Mus musculus: one gene and its partners. The protein of the gene in region 3 purifies or fractionates together with the protein of the main gene of each other region. This does not show direct contact. Links are inferred from orthologs where the notes say so. Each region holds a gene or a part of one and is shown on either strand. Other genes may lie near its edges.

Region 1 (3,646 bases), on a different chromosome or scaffold from region 3:
TCTGGTCTCCTGGGACTGGAGTTTCAGACAGTTTTGAGCTGACACATAATATGCTGAGAATCAAACCTGGGTCCTCTAGAAGAAAAGCCAGCGCTATTAAATCACTGAGCCAACTCTCTAACCCCCTTCCCCCACTACCTTCCCTAGGTTATCAGTTCATATATTTGAATGTTTGGTCCTCAGAAGGTGGAACTGTTAGGAAGTATTAGGGTGGGATTTTTGAGACTTCAAAAGCCGAAGCCATTCTTAGTTCTCGCTCTCTGCCCCATGGCAGTTGCCTCAAGATGGACATTGTCAGCTACTGCTCCAGAGCCATGCCTACCTGCCTGCCACCCCTTTCCATGCCACAATGGTCACAGAATCTGTGAGCTCAAAATTAAATTCTTTCTTTTATAAGCTGCCTTGGTCAAGTGTCACAGAAACTAAAAGACATCAGGGTAAATTATCTACCTACCTACCAATAAATGAAAATGTGTGAAATTAACAATAAAATATCGTATACTGTATACCTGATGAGCTCGACAAATCAAGTCTAAATCATGACGATTCAGAAATTTACTGACTACATCAGCTCCAAAAGTAAAAGAAACACCACGGTCATTTTCTCCCCAGCCTTGCACATCCTTATCTGGGTCGGACCACAGTAAGTCACAAAGCAAACCTTTAGAAAACAGAAAAAAAACAAACAAACCAACAGTGAAATAGAAGCAAGCACAGAATACAGCACACATTTACAGCACATCTCTCCTGCCTTCTTAAACTTCAATGATCATCCCTTGTCCCTAGGCACTCCAGTCTAAACCAGTCTTTGTTAAAGTACAACTTTCTCTAGCTTCCTAGGGTAGTACTTTCTGTTGACTTCTGCATACAGGAAATATGTGTGTGGCATACTCAAGTATATGTAATACGTGGAGGCCTTTATTTCCTTTCTGGCTAGCATTTCCTGTACACAGCTTATCCACTCCTTGCATTACACTACTACTGAGCACCAGCCTATATTGCAATACTTTACTGATTTATCACGAAGACATGAACACATTAATGACTTTAATTAAGACTGGCAGGGCGGCTCCTTTTCTTGCTCTGATCACTTTGTTAACTGTTTTCAGGGATGAAACTAGGTTTCTAAGTGACTTTCACTAAATATAATTAGGTCCAAGCACGTCAACATCTTATGTAAAGCAATGAACTGAACTTCTGTATATACTAACCTGTATCAGGTACGTCAGTGGGTCTCATAATTCTCCGAATCTGTTCCATAGATTGTAGGTCTGGTGACAGTCCTATATATAGAAAGAAAGAGACTTGCTATCTAGCAGAATTATACTCATGCTATCTTTTCTATCTTTCTACCAAGGAAATAAATCATTATTCTTCGAGAGATTCCAAGGAGAAACTCTACTACTTTTTTGCAGTTGCCCTCCCCCTTCCTGAGAACACACTTAGTTGCAACCTTCCTACTGCTTCTGTACCTTCATGACCACCAGATCCCCATAAAGCATTTTTACTTGCAAGTTATACGCCTCTCTTGGTCCCCTAGGAACCTTTCCCCATATCCCACCTCAACAGTCTCATTATCTGCAAAAATGTGCATTAAACTAATAATCAGAAGGATAAAAAAAAGCACAAGAATATATCTGTAAAGTAGAACATAAGGTATTATTTCTCTGGTAGGTAATTCAAGTACCACAAGAAATGAAGCTAAATACACATATTCCACACTGCCATATTCCCACCTCAACTCTGCCAATGCCTTTAATGGTCAGTATCTATGGAAAACAACATTTCAACTAATAGAGTGAACTGTGCTGTCAGAATAAACCACTCACGTCTCAGGCCTCGCCACCATCTTTCAGCATTTCCACCTCTATGCTTCCCAAAAGACACTACCATGTATGATACCAAGAAACCATTTTTCCTGTATATCATTAAATTGTTCCATAGTGTGTGTAAATGTGTGCTCATGTATGCGTGTGTGTGGTGAGACTGATTCTCACTATAAAGCCCTGGCTGGCATGATCCTTGGTACATAGGCCAGGATGGCCTTGAACTCAGAACTATACCTACCTGCCTCCTGGGTGCTGAGAGTAAATGTGTACTTGCTTCTACCTTGTTCTAAGGAAGAAACCTCATTGGCCTCAAGATCCCTGATTAAGGATTGAATTTAGGTCACAGGACTTTCAAAGCAAGCCCTTACCATAATCTTCCCTAACTTTTGAAAAACTTTTTGTGTGTGTGTGTGTGTGTGTGTGTGTGTGTACACGTACTATCATAGAAAAGTTTACTGCATATTCTTCAGGGAGTTCTCATGTGTGTAAACTTACAAAACTTTCATCTTTAGAAGACTAAATTGTTCATGACTACTACACATTTGAAGCTCTTTAGAAAGTCATTAGTCATGGCAATTTATGATCCTCAGAGCATAAATGAGAAACACACCAAGGTAAAGCTGGGTGCTAAAGCTGGAGAGCTGAAAACTGTTTTTGATCTAAATTCTAATCTCTATATTCTAATGTCCTCATTTCCTAACATGTTGGCGTAGTGCACAAAACTTGGAAAGCTGTATGAATTATGTTTAGAGTTTGATAAAAGGTAGTTAATACAGACAGAAAAATAATTAGCCTCTCATTCTTAATGATGGCCAAGTACCTTTTATTAAAATCTGAGGTATGAGCTAGATCCCAGCACCACAGGAAATCATCTGACCAGCTGGTCAAGCATAAATTGAGGCAAAGTAAAAATACTCCACACACATCTAATTACCTTTTCTCTTTCCCTTCTCTTTTCTTTCTGAGGTAGAATCTATGGCCCAGGATGGCCTTGAGATCCTTCTGCCTCAGCCTCTGAGTCCTGGGATTCCAGTGTGTGTGGACCACTCTTCTGTTAACACTTGTATAGGAGGCATTCTCTGTAAGGCCCAGTGAAGAATTTCCTATTTTGAGACGGGGTGTTCCTAAGCCTGCCTGGCCTGGAATCAAGCTGGCTTCTAGTTGCTCTACACCTCCTGCCACACTCAGCTTTCCCACAGTACTGTCATTATTACAGTTCTCTTCTAAACAGCAAATGTATTACTCTACCTCCATGACAACAGAAGATTTTCTCATCAACAATAGCAGCTATAGGCAGACAGTTAAAACAATCAGTGAATGTCTTCCACAATTTAATATTAAATCTTCGTTTACCTATAAAAAGGGAAAACACAGAGAATTAAAGAATCAATAACTGTTTTTTTTCCCTCTGTGCTTGATTACTGTACTGGCTAATTTTGTGTCAACTTGACACAGCTGGAGTTATCACAGAGAAAGGAGCTTCAGTTGAGGAAATGCCTCCATGAGATCCAACTGTAAGGCATTTTCTCAATTAGTGATCAAGGGGGAAAGGCCCCTTGTGGGTGGGACCATCTCTGGGCTGGCAGTCTTGGGTTCTATAAGAGAGCAGGCTGAGCAAACCAGGGGAGGCAAGCCAGTAAAGAACATCCCTCCATGGCCTCTGCATCAGCTCCTGCTTCCTGCCCTGCTTGAGTTCCAGATCTGACTTCCTTTGGTGATGAGCAGCAGTATGGAAGTGTAAGCCGAATAAACCCTTTCCTCCCCAACTTGCTTCTTGGTCATGATGTTTGTGCAGGAATAGAGACCCTGACTAAGAC
Region 2 (4,165 bases), on a different chromosome or scaffold from region 3:
GTCCTGGAACTCTGTAGACCAGGCTGGCCTTGAACTCAGAAATCCACCTGCCTCGGCTGAGTGCTGAGATTAAAAGCGTGTGCCACCACATCCAGCCGTGTTTACTTTTAAAATGTACTTTCCTATAAATAAGGACAATGTGACTTACTGCACTCCAAACAATGAAATCAGACCATGGAGACCTTTTGGATGGAACTCGGAATAAAATCACCAAGTGTAAGACTTCGTTTCCTTCCTAATTTTGCCACTCATTTGAGTCATACCTCCCTTTGCTTAGGAGAATATTCAATAATATTAAGTTAAACAATAAACCAGCAGCCAGGAGTGCTAGAGTATGCCTTTAATCACAGGAAAGAGTTCTGTTCTGAATGGGAAGAACTCTTTACTGGAAAGGCAGAGGCAAGTGGATATCTTTGAGTTTGAGGTCAGCCTGGCCTACATTGTGAGTTCCAGGACAGCCAGAGCTATGTGAGATTGTCTTTTATTTAAAAAGAAAGAAAGAAAGAAAGAAAGAAAGAGAGAGAGAGAGAGAGAGAGAGAGAGAGAGAGAGAGAGAGAGAGAGAAAGAAAGAAAGAAAGAAAGAAAGAAAGAAAGAAAGAAAGAAAGAGAGAAAGAAAGAGAGAAAGAAAGAAAGAAAGAAAGAAAGAAAGAAAGAAAGAGAGAGAGAGAGAGAGAGAGAGAGAAAGAAAGAAAGAAAGAAAGAAAGAAAGAAAGAAGAGAGAGAGAGAGAAAGAGAGAAAGAAAGAGAGAAAGAAAGAAAGAAAGAAAGAAAGAAGAGAGAGAGAGAGAGAGAGAGAGAGAGAGAAAGAAAGAAAGAAAGAAAGAAAGAGGAAAAGAAAAAGGAAAGAAAAGAAAAAAAAACACCAAAAAACCAAACCAAACCAAACCAAAACAAAAAACAAAAAGCAAAAGCAACTAGCAATCACTCACTGTCAATCATCTCTCAACCATAACAATGTTCCCACAGGATAAACCGACACAACAGCAATGGATAACTACTTTTGGTGCAAACAACCGTGCAAATGAATTCACAGCACTTTGGGAGGTAGTATATAATCCTCAAAAGATGGACCAAGGCTCAAGTTCTCAAAAAAAAAATGGTAAAATTTCATACACTGCAGCTTTGACTTTCGCTTGCTCAAATAAGTTTTATGCTTTCTAATAGGAAAATCTGTCAACCAAAAGTTTTCCTGAATATCTTACAGCAGTGGCTCTCAACGTTCCTAATGCTGCATGGACCCTTTATTATGGTTCCTCATATTATGGTGACCCCCAACCATAAAATTATTTTCGCTGCTATTTCACAAATATAAGTTTGCTACTGTTATGAATCACAAAGTATCTGTTTTCCTATGGTCTTAGGTGACCCTTGTGGAAGGTCTTAGAACATCCAACAACCATTACTTCTACTTCACGCCATCTTTAAAAACCAAACCAAACCAAACCAAACCAAACCCTGTTATTATAGTCATTTGACAACTGGAATCCAAAGGTGACATAGTCAGTCTGTGATCACTGGGAAACAGGTGCACTCTACCCCCTTCTATGTTCTCTGGCAGCTATTTCTTTCCCTCTGTCGTTCTTTAGCCAAGCAAACAGATGCCACATCAGTAGGATGAACCACTTTTATCAGAAAAGACATTTCAAATAAAAGAGCCCCCTATAGAATTCAAGAAATAACAACTGTCCGAAGTTATTCCCTGCTGGATAAACAACTTTCTTTATCTCGATTTCTTTACTGAAAAAATTTTTTTTCTTTCTTGCTGTCTCCCAAGATTGTTAGTTATTTCACCCCCAACCAAAGAACAATTCCTTTCGTTCTTCCTATTCAGAACAGAAACTCCTCAAACAAGCCGTCTCTTCAACATCCTGGTTTCCTCATGACAGCCGCTTTCGGTTCTCCCCCACCCCCACCCCCTCCACAGTCCTTAGAGGAGCTCGAAGCCTCGGCCACTGTCCCCTCCAGCTCCCGCCAGCCCCCGCGCTCACCCCCACCGTCCTTCCCTAACCGCTGCCTAGGCCCTCCGGCGCCCCAGCATCAGCAGCTTTTGCTCACCTCGGCTCCTGACAGGAAAGGGTGCGAGGGCCCAGTGATCGTCAGGTAATTGTCATTTCCTCCGGGAAACTGTAAACCAAAAGAAAGCCGCGGTGGGTGAGTGAGCGGAGCAGTGGCGTGCTGAGACCCCAGCCCTCCCGAGCCCCCCTGGCTCCTCGCTGCCCTGCATTCCCGCTTCCGCTTCCCCTAGTCGGCCGCGAACCCTCATCAGCCCTCAAAGACTCGGCACCCACCTCCATCTTCACAGCACCACTACCAGCGACTCAGCGTCTCCGCGTCCGCATCGCTCCCACCGCCCCCACTAGGTTCCGAGCGCGTCACTTCCTCAAGGAGAAAGCGTCGCTCTCCGATGATTGGACCGAGTCAGGGACGCAACCAGTCTCGATCCCAGCTGCCCGAAGGGTCGCTGTCGCCCCCTGGAGCTTGGTGGGATAATGGCATGTAGAAGAGCACTGGGTGGCCCTAGAGGCGGCGTCCGGTACAGCCGATCCAGCGAAGATTTCTGGGGGAGAGCAATAGAGACGCAGCTTGAGCTAGAAGGGCTGGAGCGGAGGCAAATAAGGAGACCCGTAGATTGAGTGGCTAGAGAGGTCGGAGGTAAGTGGCTGTAGAAATCGGGAGGACCCGGAACACAGACGCCTCGGGACCATGACTTACGCTTATCTCTTCAAGTACATCATCATCGGAGACACAGGTAACCCGCCGACGGACCGCCTTCGGAGTTGGGGCGGGGATCCTACCTCCAAAATCGGCTTGGGGGCGGGGCGGGGTGAGCGGAGTTGCGCGGAGGGGGCGGGGCGAGCCCCGGGGGCGGGGCTCTGCCCCTGCCTTAGACCCTGTTCCCTGTCTGGGAGCCAGCGGCTTCCCGGGTGACGTGCGTCTAGTGAACACCGTTCTTTCGCAGGTGTGGGGAAGTCATGTCTCCTCCTTCAGTTTACCGACAAGCGGTTCCAGCCCGTGCACGACCTCACAATAGGTAAGCTATCCCCTCGTTCCAGAACAGCTAAAAGCTAGCTGCCAGAACTGCTAAAGGAGAAAGTTACAGTCTCAGTATTCTAAATAAAAAGTTACTTCTCGGCCGGGCGTGGTAGCTCGCGCCTTTAATCCCAGCACTCGGGAGGCAGGTGGATTTCAGAGTTCGAGGCCAGCCTGGTCTACAAAGTGAGTTCCAGGACATCCAGGGCTACACAGAGAAACCCTGTCTTGAAAAACCAAAAAAAGTTACTTCTCGCTACCTTGGTCTGAAATCATGGTATATGAAAAATGATAAAAGCTGGTAAGTGGAGGATAAATGATTGAAAGGTAACTTTAGAGATGGATGTAAGATACTAGTTGCCGTAGGATTTTTTTTTCTTCCAATGCAACTTGTATGTTTATGGAAAAATCCCACGGAAACATGACTGCTTATTAAACATCTCATCTGTATTTTGTTATTAACTACCAGCTTCACATGTTTTTCAACATAAACACCAACATAGGATTCTTTTAAGTCTGGAGAGGTAAAAGCCAATGTACGGACATTGCAGTTCTTCCTGCACAGACACCTCCTCTAATCTCTTCACCTTCTCTTCTTTTAGGAGCAAATAGCCTCAGATTCATTATATAACCCACACTGGACACAAACTCCCAGAGATCCTCCTGCATTAGACTCTCCCCCCCCCACCCCCTCGGGACAGGGTTTCTCTCTGTGTGGCCCTGGCTGTCCTGGAACTCACTCTGTAGGACAGGCTGGCTTCAAAAATCAGAAATCCGCCTGCCTCTGCCTCCCAAGTGCTGGGATTAAAGGCGTGCGCCACCACTCCCAGCCTCACGGACTTTCGTAATAAGTTTGTTTTTGCGCCGAGACTGGCTTTAAGCTTCCTGGGTAACCTGACCATGATTTTGACTTGATCGTCCTAAATGCTGGGATTAGATATGCACCACTATACTCAGCCTGTTTTTTAGTTTCTTACTCATTGAAATTACATTCTTATTGTTCTGAGAGAAAAAAAAAGTTGACAGTGATTTTTTTTTTCCAAAAAAATATCTTTTTGATTTTTGTTGAGGTAATAGGTATTCAGAACAGGTATTTCATATAGCACCTTAAAGTAAAAATATTTATATAGAGT
Region 3 (3,646 bases):
ACTTCCTTTGGTGATGAACAGCAGTGTGGAAGTGTAAGCCGAATAAACCCTTTCCTCCCCAACTTGTTTCTTGGTCATGATGTTTGTGCAGGAATAGAGACCCTGACTAAGATGGAAGGGGAGTTTTCAAAGGTACAAAAATCCTAAGATGCTAAGACATCAAAGGCAAAGCAAAAGACGGTTCTCAAGGGCAAGTCTTCCCCTGTGCAGAGTGCACCCCAGGCCTACTCACGCTGTGGAGGGATGATCTTCACTTTGATTTCTTTGGTGGTATTGGGGGCTGTGTTGAGAGGCTTGTATTTCTTCTCTGCAGGTGGGGCAGCGTCACCTGGAGCAGCTGTGGCACTGCAGATGCAAAGAAAGGACAGTCAAAAACATCTCCCAATTCCCACTTCTTTCCAAAGGCCCTGGCTCCTTAGAAACCTACACCAGTGCCCATACCTCTGCCGCTTCAGGGGGATGGGCTTCAGGTTGTACTTGTCTGACACAACCACAGTGCTGGAGTTCTTCTTCACAGGCACCAAAGATGGGGTGTCCAGCTCCAGTCCTGAGGAGAGACATGGTGACTTTAACCCTTACTGTTCCTCCCTGTGGCCGCCCTCTCCATGCTCTAGCCTTGAGTAAGTGCCTTAGCTTCTCCTGTAGCCTGCCTTCCTTCCTAGAGTTTGACACTGCAATCAAACTCCTAGCCTGAGGCACTGACTGTGCATGTGATGGTCCTGCAAAGCCCAGCTGACAGCCTTACCAGTAGAACGGAACTTGGCATGACTGGGTGCCGTAGTTCTAAGTGACTTGGGCTTCTCTTTCTTCTTCTCTGGGGCTTCCTCAGCCCGGGTCTCAGCCTTCACTTCAGTCAAAGGCCGCTCAGGAAGCGTGGTTCGACTTTTCCCCTCTTCCTTCCTTTTCTTCTTATCTTTCTCTGTTATACAAAGACAAAGCAGGTAAGCGTCTCATTTGGATAAACAGATCGTCAGAGGTGAAGAACCAGCCTCGAGACACCCAAGGGCTACCGTCTAAGGTAAAGAGCCCAGGACCTTACCTGCAGGCTGGGTGCTACTCTGGGAGCGGATGACAGCCATCCAGTCACTGACAAGGACTGATGCCAATTTCCGGAGCTCTGAAGGTGAAAAGGGGGAGAAAAACCACTTATTTAGCAATAATTTAGTATTTCCAGCAAAAAAAAATACATAAACATTTTTTTTAAAAAAAACCTCTATTCAAGGGAGAAAGCAGTCTAGGGCCAACTGGGAAGAAATGAGGGAGACAGTGGTAATGAGAGCGTCCTTCCTCTGCCTGGGACATGTCCTCTCAGTTACTAAGGACACTCAAAAGACATCATAAAACTGGAAAATGTCAGTATTCCAAAGAACCAAATATTGAGAATAAAACTAAAAAGGGTAGAAAGCTAGAGTGTAGTTTCCATTTAATGCTTAAGTTCTTTTTTTTTTTTCCTTTTTTTTCGAGACAGGGTTTCTCTGGAACTCACTTTGTAGACCAGGTTGGCCTCAAACTCAGAAATTCACCTGCCTCTGCCTCTCAAGTGCTGGGATTAAAGGCGTGCGCCACCACGCCCGGCAATGCTTAAGTTCTTACTCAGTATGCAGGGTACTCTGGCTTTCCTCCCCAGAAACAGATAAACAGCTCTAAAGGCCAGTAATGTGATTTAAAGTAAAGTGGGTCCCTTGCCTGCCTTAAGGGATAGTTCATCACAGTGAAGAACTCCTGACACATTCACAAGCTCCCCTGATATTAAAGGTCTTGAATGACCATTTTCATTAAACATAGGGATAAATCTGTATTTTTATCAGAATAGATAAGTCTTGTAAGCTGGGTATCTTGGTTCATGCCTCTAATCCAGTACTCAAAAGGACTGCCATGGATTCACAGCCAGTCCAGTCTCTAAGGCCAGACCAGTTTGAGGCAAACCTGGTCTACCAAGTGAGTTCCAGGTCGGCCAAGGCCATACAAAGGGATGCCACATCAAATAAACAACAGCAAAACCCCACTCCTACAGAAATGTTTCCCAGTAGGCATACTCCATGTAAAAAATAAGTTTCATTTGGAATGGAAAGGGATCACCAGTTGGGCGTGGTGGCACACCTTCAATTCTAGTGCTCTGGAGACAGAGGCAAGTAAGCTGGAAGTTCGAGACCAGCCTGGTCTGCATAGTGAGTCCCTGGACAGCCAGGGCTACACAGAGAAAGTTTGTCTCTCAGAAAGACACAGAAAAAGGGAGGGAGGGAAGCAGGGCTGAGCAAGCAAAAATGAAAGGACAGCCAGTAAAGGAGGCAGTAAGGCAGCCAGCAGCAGCCTCCGAGAGAGAGAGAGAGAGAGAAAGAGAGAGAGAGAGAGAGAGAGAGAGAGAGAGCGAGCAAGTGAGGCCGGGCCAGGCCGGACTCTGACACACACCTTCATCCTCACTTGACTTGCTGAGCTGCTTCACTAGTTTTGCTGTGTTGTTCTGTGAGAGAAGGAAAAGGCAGAAGGGTCAACAGAGGAATAAGCCGAGCTCACTCAGCATTAACCATCCCACCTCTTGACTGCACAGCCATACTTCAACCTGCTCCAAAGCCTGCAAATACTTTATCTTCTGAAAAAGGGTCGATCTTTGTAACCCTGGGTAGCCTGGAGCTCACTATGTAGGTAAGGTAGACCTTGAACCCACAGAAATCCACCTGCCTCTACCTCCCAAGCAGATTAAAGGCATGAGCCACTGGACTGATTCCCATTATAGAGATGGGAAACTGAGGTTCAGATCTGAGAAAGCACATGCCTAATAACGGAGATAAATCCACAGAGTCCTCCACTTCAAAATTTCCATTTCCCTCTGCTATTCCACCTCACAAATTCCAGACTGCCACCCATCAGGACTGAATGGAGCTTTTCTTCAGCTATGCTAGCCCAGAGAGGAACTGTGGGTAATGAAGCCTGAAGATACCTGCTTGAGATGGTCCACAGTGAGCGGGAGGTGCTGCAGAGTCAGCAGAATCTGCTGTAGGAGAGGAATGTTGTTGGTGGTCTTTGAATATGTTAGCCAGTTGTTCAGAAGCTTGTAGCCACCGACATCAATAAACCTGTGGGCAGGTGGGAACAGAATATGGTGAGCCTTCCTTGGTTTCAGAACTAGCAAGCTCCCATGCCCAGAGACCAGTCTCCCATCACAGCCTCCAGTCCAGTCACCCGCACTGCACTTACTTGACGAGCACTTCTGGAGCGCGGGTCTGCAGGATTATGTTCAAGTACGTGCACCGACTCACCATCTTTCGTGCCTCCTTCATTAGACTAGGAGAGGAGCAGATAGATAATCTGCTTTGAGTATTACTAGTATTCACATCTCAGAGTCAGGGTCTTATTAGCCCAGGCTAGCCTCCCCTCCTGAGAGCTAGGATGACAGGCACAGAGAGGGCGCCATGCCAGCTAATCTCCTACAGCATAAGACTCTAATCTTAGGAGTCCTGGAGTCCCTGATGACATTCTTTGCTCCAAGATGTAGACACCAGATTTCTAGAATTATGGAATGAATCTAGAGTCATATAAAAACCCAGGGGAGGATAGCAGGTACCCGAGCCACCTGGGAGAGCAGCCTTCCTGTGTCAACACACAGAAACAACTGCCTCCAGGAGGAGTCAGGGTTCACACATTTCCC

What was found.
Region 1: the proteins of Ppp1r10 (region 3) and Ppp1cb purify together in Homo sapiens (affinity purification with mass spectrometry; 5 studies listed by BioGRID and IntAct, with this or other methods). This does not show direct contact. The link is inferred for Mus musculus from reciprocal best matches to the Homo sapiens genes PPP1R10 and PPP1CB.
Region 2: the proteins of Ppp1r10 (region 3) and Tox4 purify together in Homo sapiens (affinity purification with mass spectrometry; 3 studies listed by BioGRID and IntAct, counting the BioPlex papers as one, with this or other methods). This does not show direct contact. The link is inferred for Mus musculus from reciprocal best matches to the Homo sapiens genes PPP1R10 and TOX4.

Annotation. Positions count from the first base shown.
Region 1 is NC_000071.6:32,482,896-32,486,541, reverse strand, and holds part of Ppp1cb (serine/threonine-protein phosphatase PP1-beta catalytic subunit), read right to left. Parts: intron 3,183-3,646; coding exon 3,078-3,182; intron 1,284-3,077; coding exon 1,212-1,283; intron 662-1,211; coding exon 510-661; intron 1-509. UniProt on the Homo sapiens protein: Protein phosphatase that associates with over 200 regulatory proteins to form highly specific holoenzymes which dephosphorylate hundreds of biological targets.
Region 2 is NC_000080.6:52,277,782-52,281,946, reverse strand, and holds the start of Tox4 (TOX high mobility group box family member 4), read right to left. Parts: upstream 2,802-4,165; 5' UTR 2,752-2,801; coding exon of another isoform or gene 2,706-2,751; exon of another isoform or gene 2,560-2,705; 5' UTR 2,297-2,559; coding exon 2,291-2,296; intron 2,127-2,290; coding exon 2,058-2,126; intron 1-2,057. Other genes in the region: Rab2b (ras-related protein Rab-2B), read left to right, coding at 2,706-2,751, 2,962-3,033. UniProt on the Homo sapiens protein: Transcription factor that modulates cell fate reprogramming from the somatic state to the pluripotent and neuronal fate. In liver, controls the expression of hormone-regulated gluconeogenic genes such as G6PC1 and PCK1.
Region 3 is NC_000083.6:35,923,673-35,927,318, reverse strand, and holds part of Ppp1r10 (serine/threonine-protein phosphatase 1 regulatory subunit 10), read right to left. Parts: intron 3,283-3,646; coding exon 3,196-3,282; intron 3,075-3,195; coding exon 2,939-3,074; intron 2,462-2,938; coding exon 2,410-2,461; intron 1,118-2,409; coding exon 1,040-1,117; intron 920-1,039; coding exon 746-919; intron 548-745; coding exon 442-547; intron 346-441; coding exon 233-345; intron 1-232.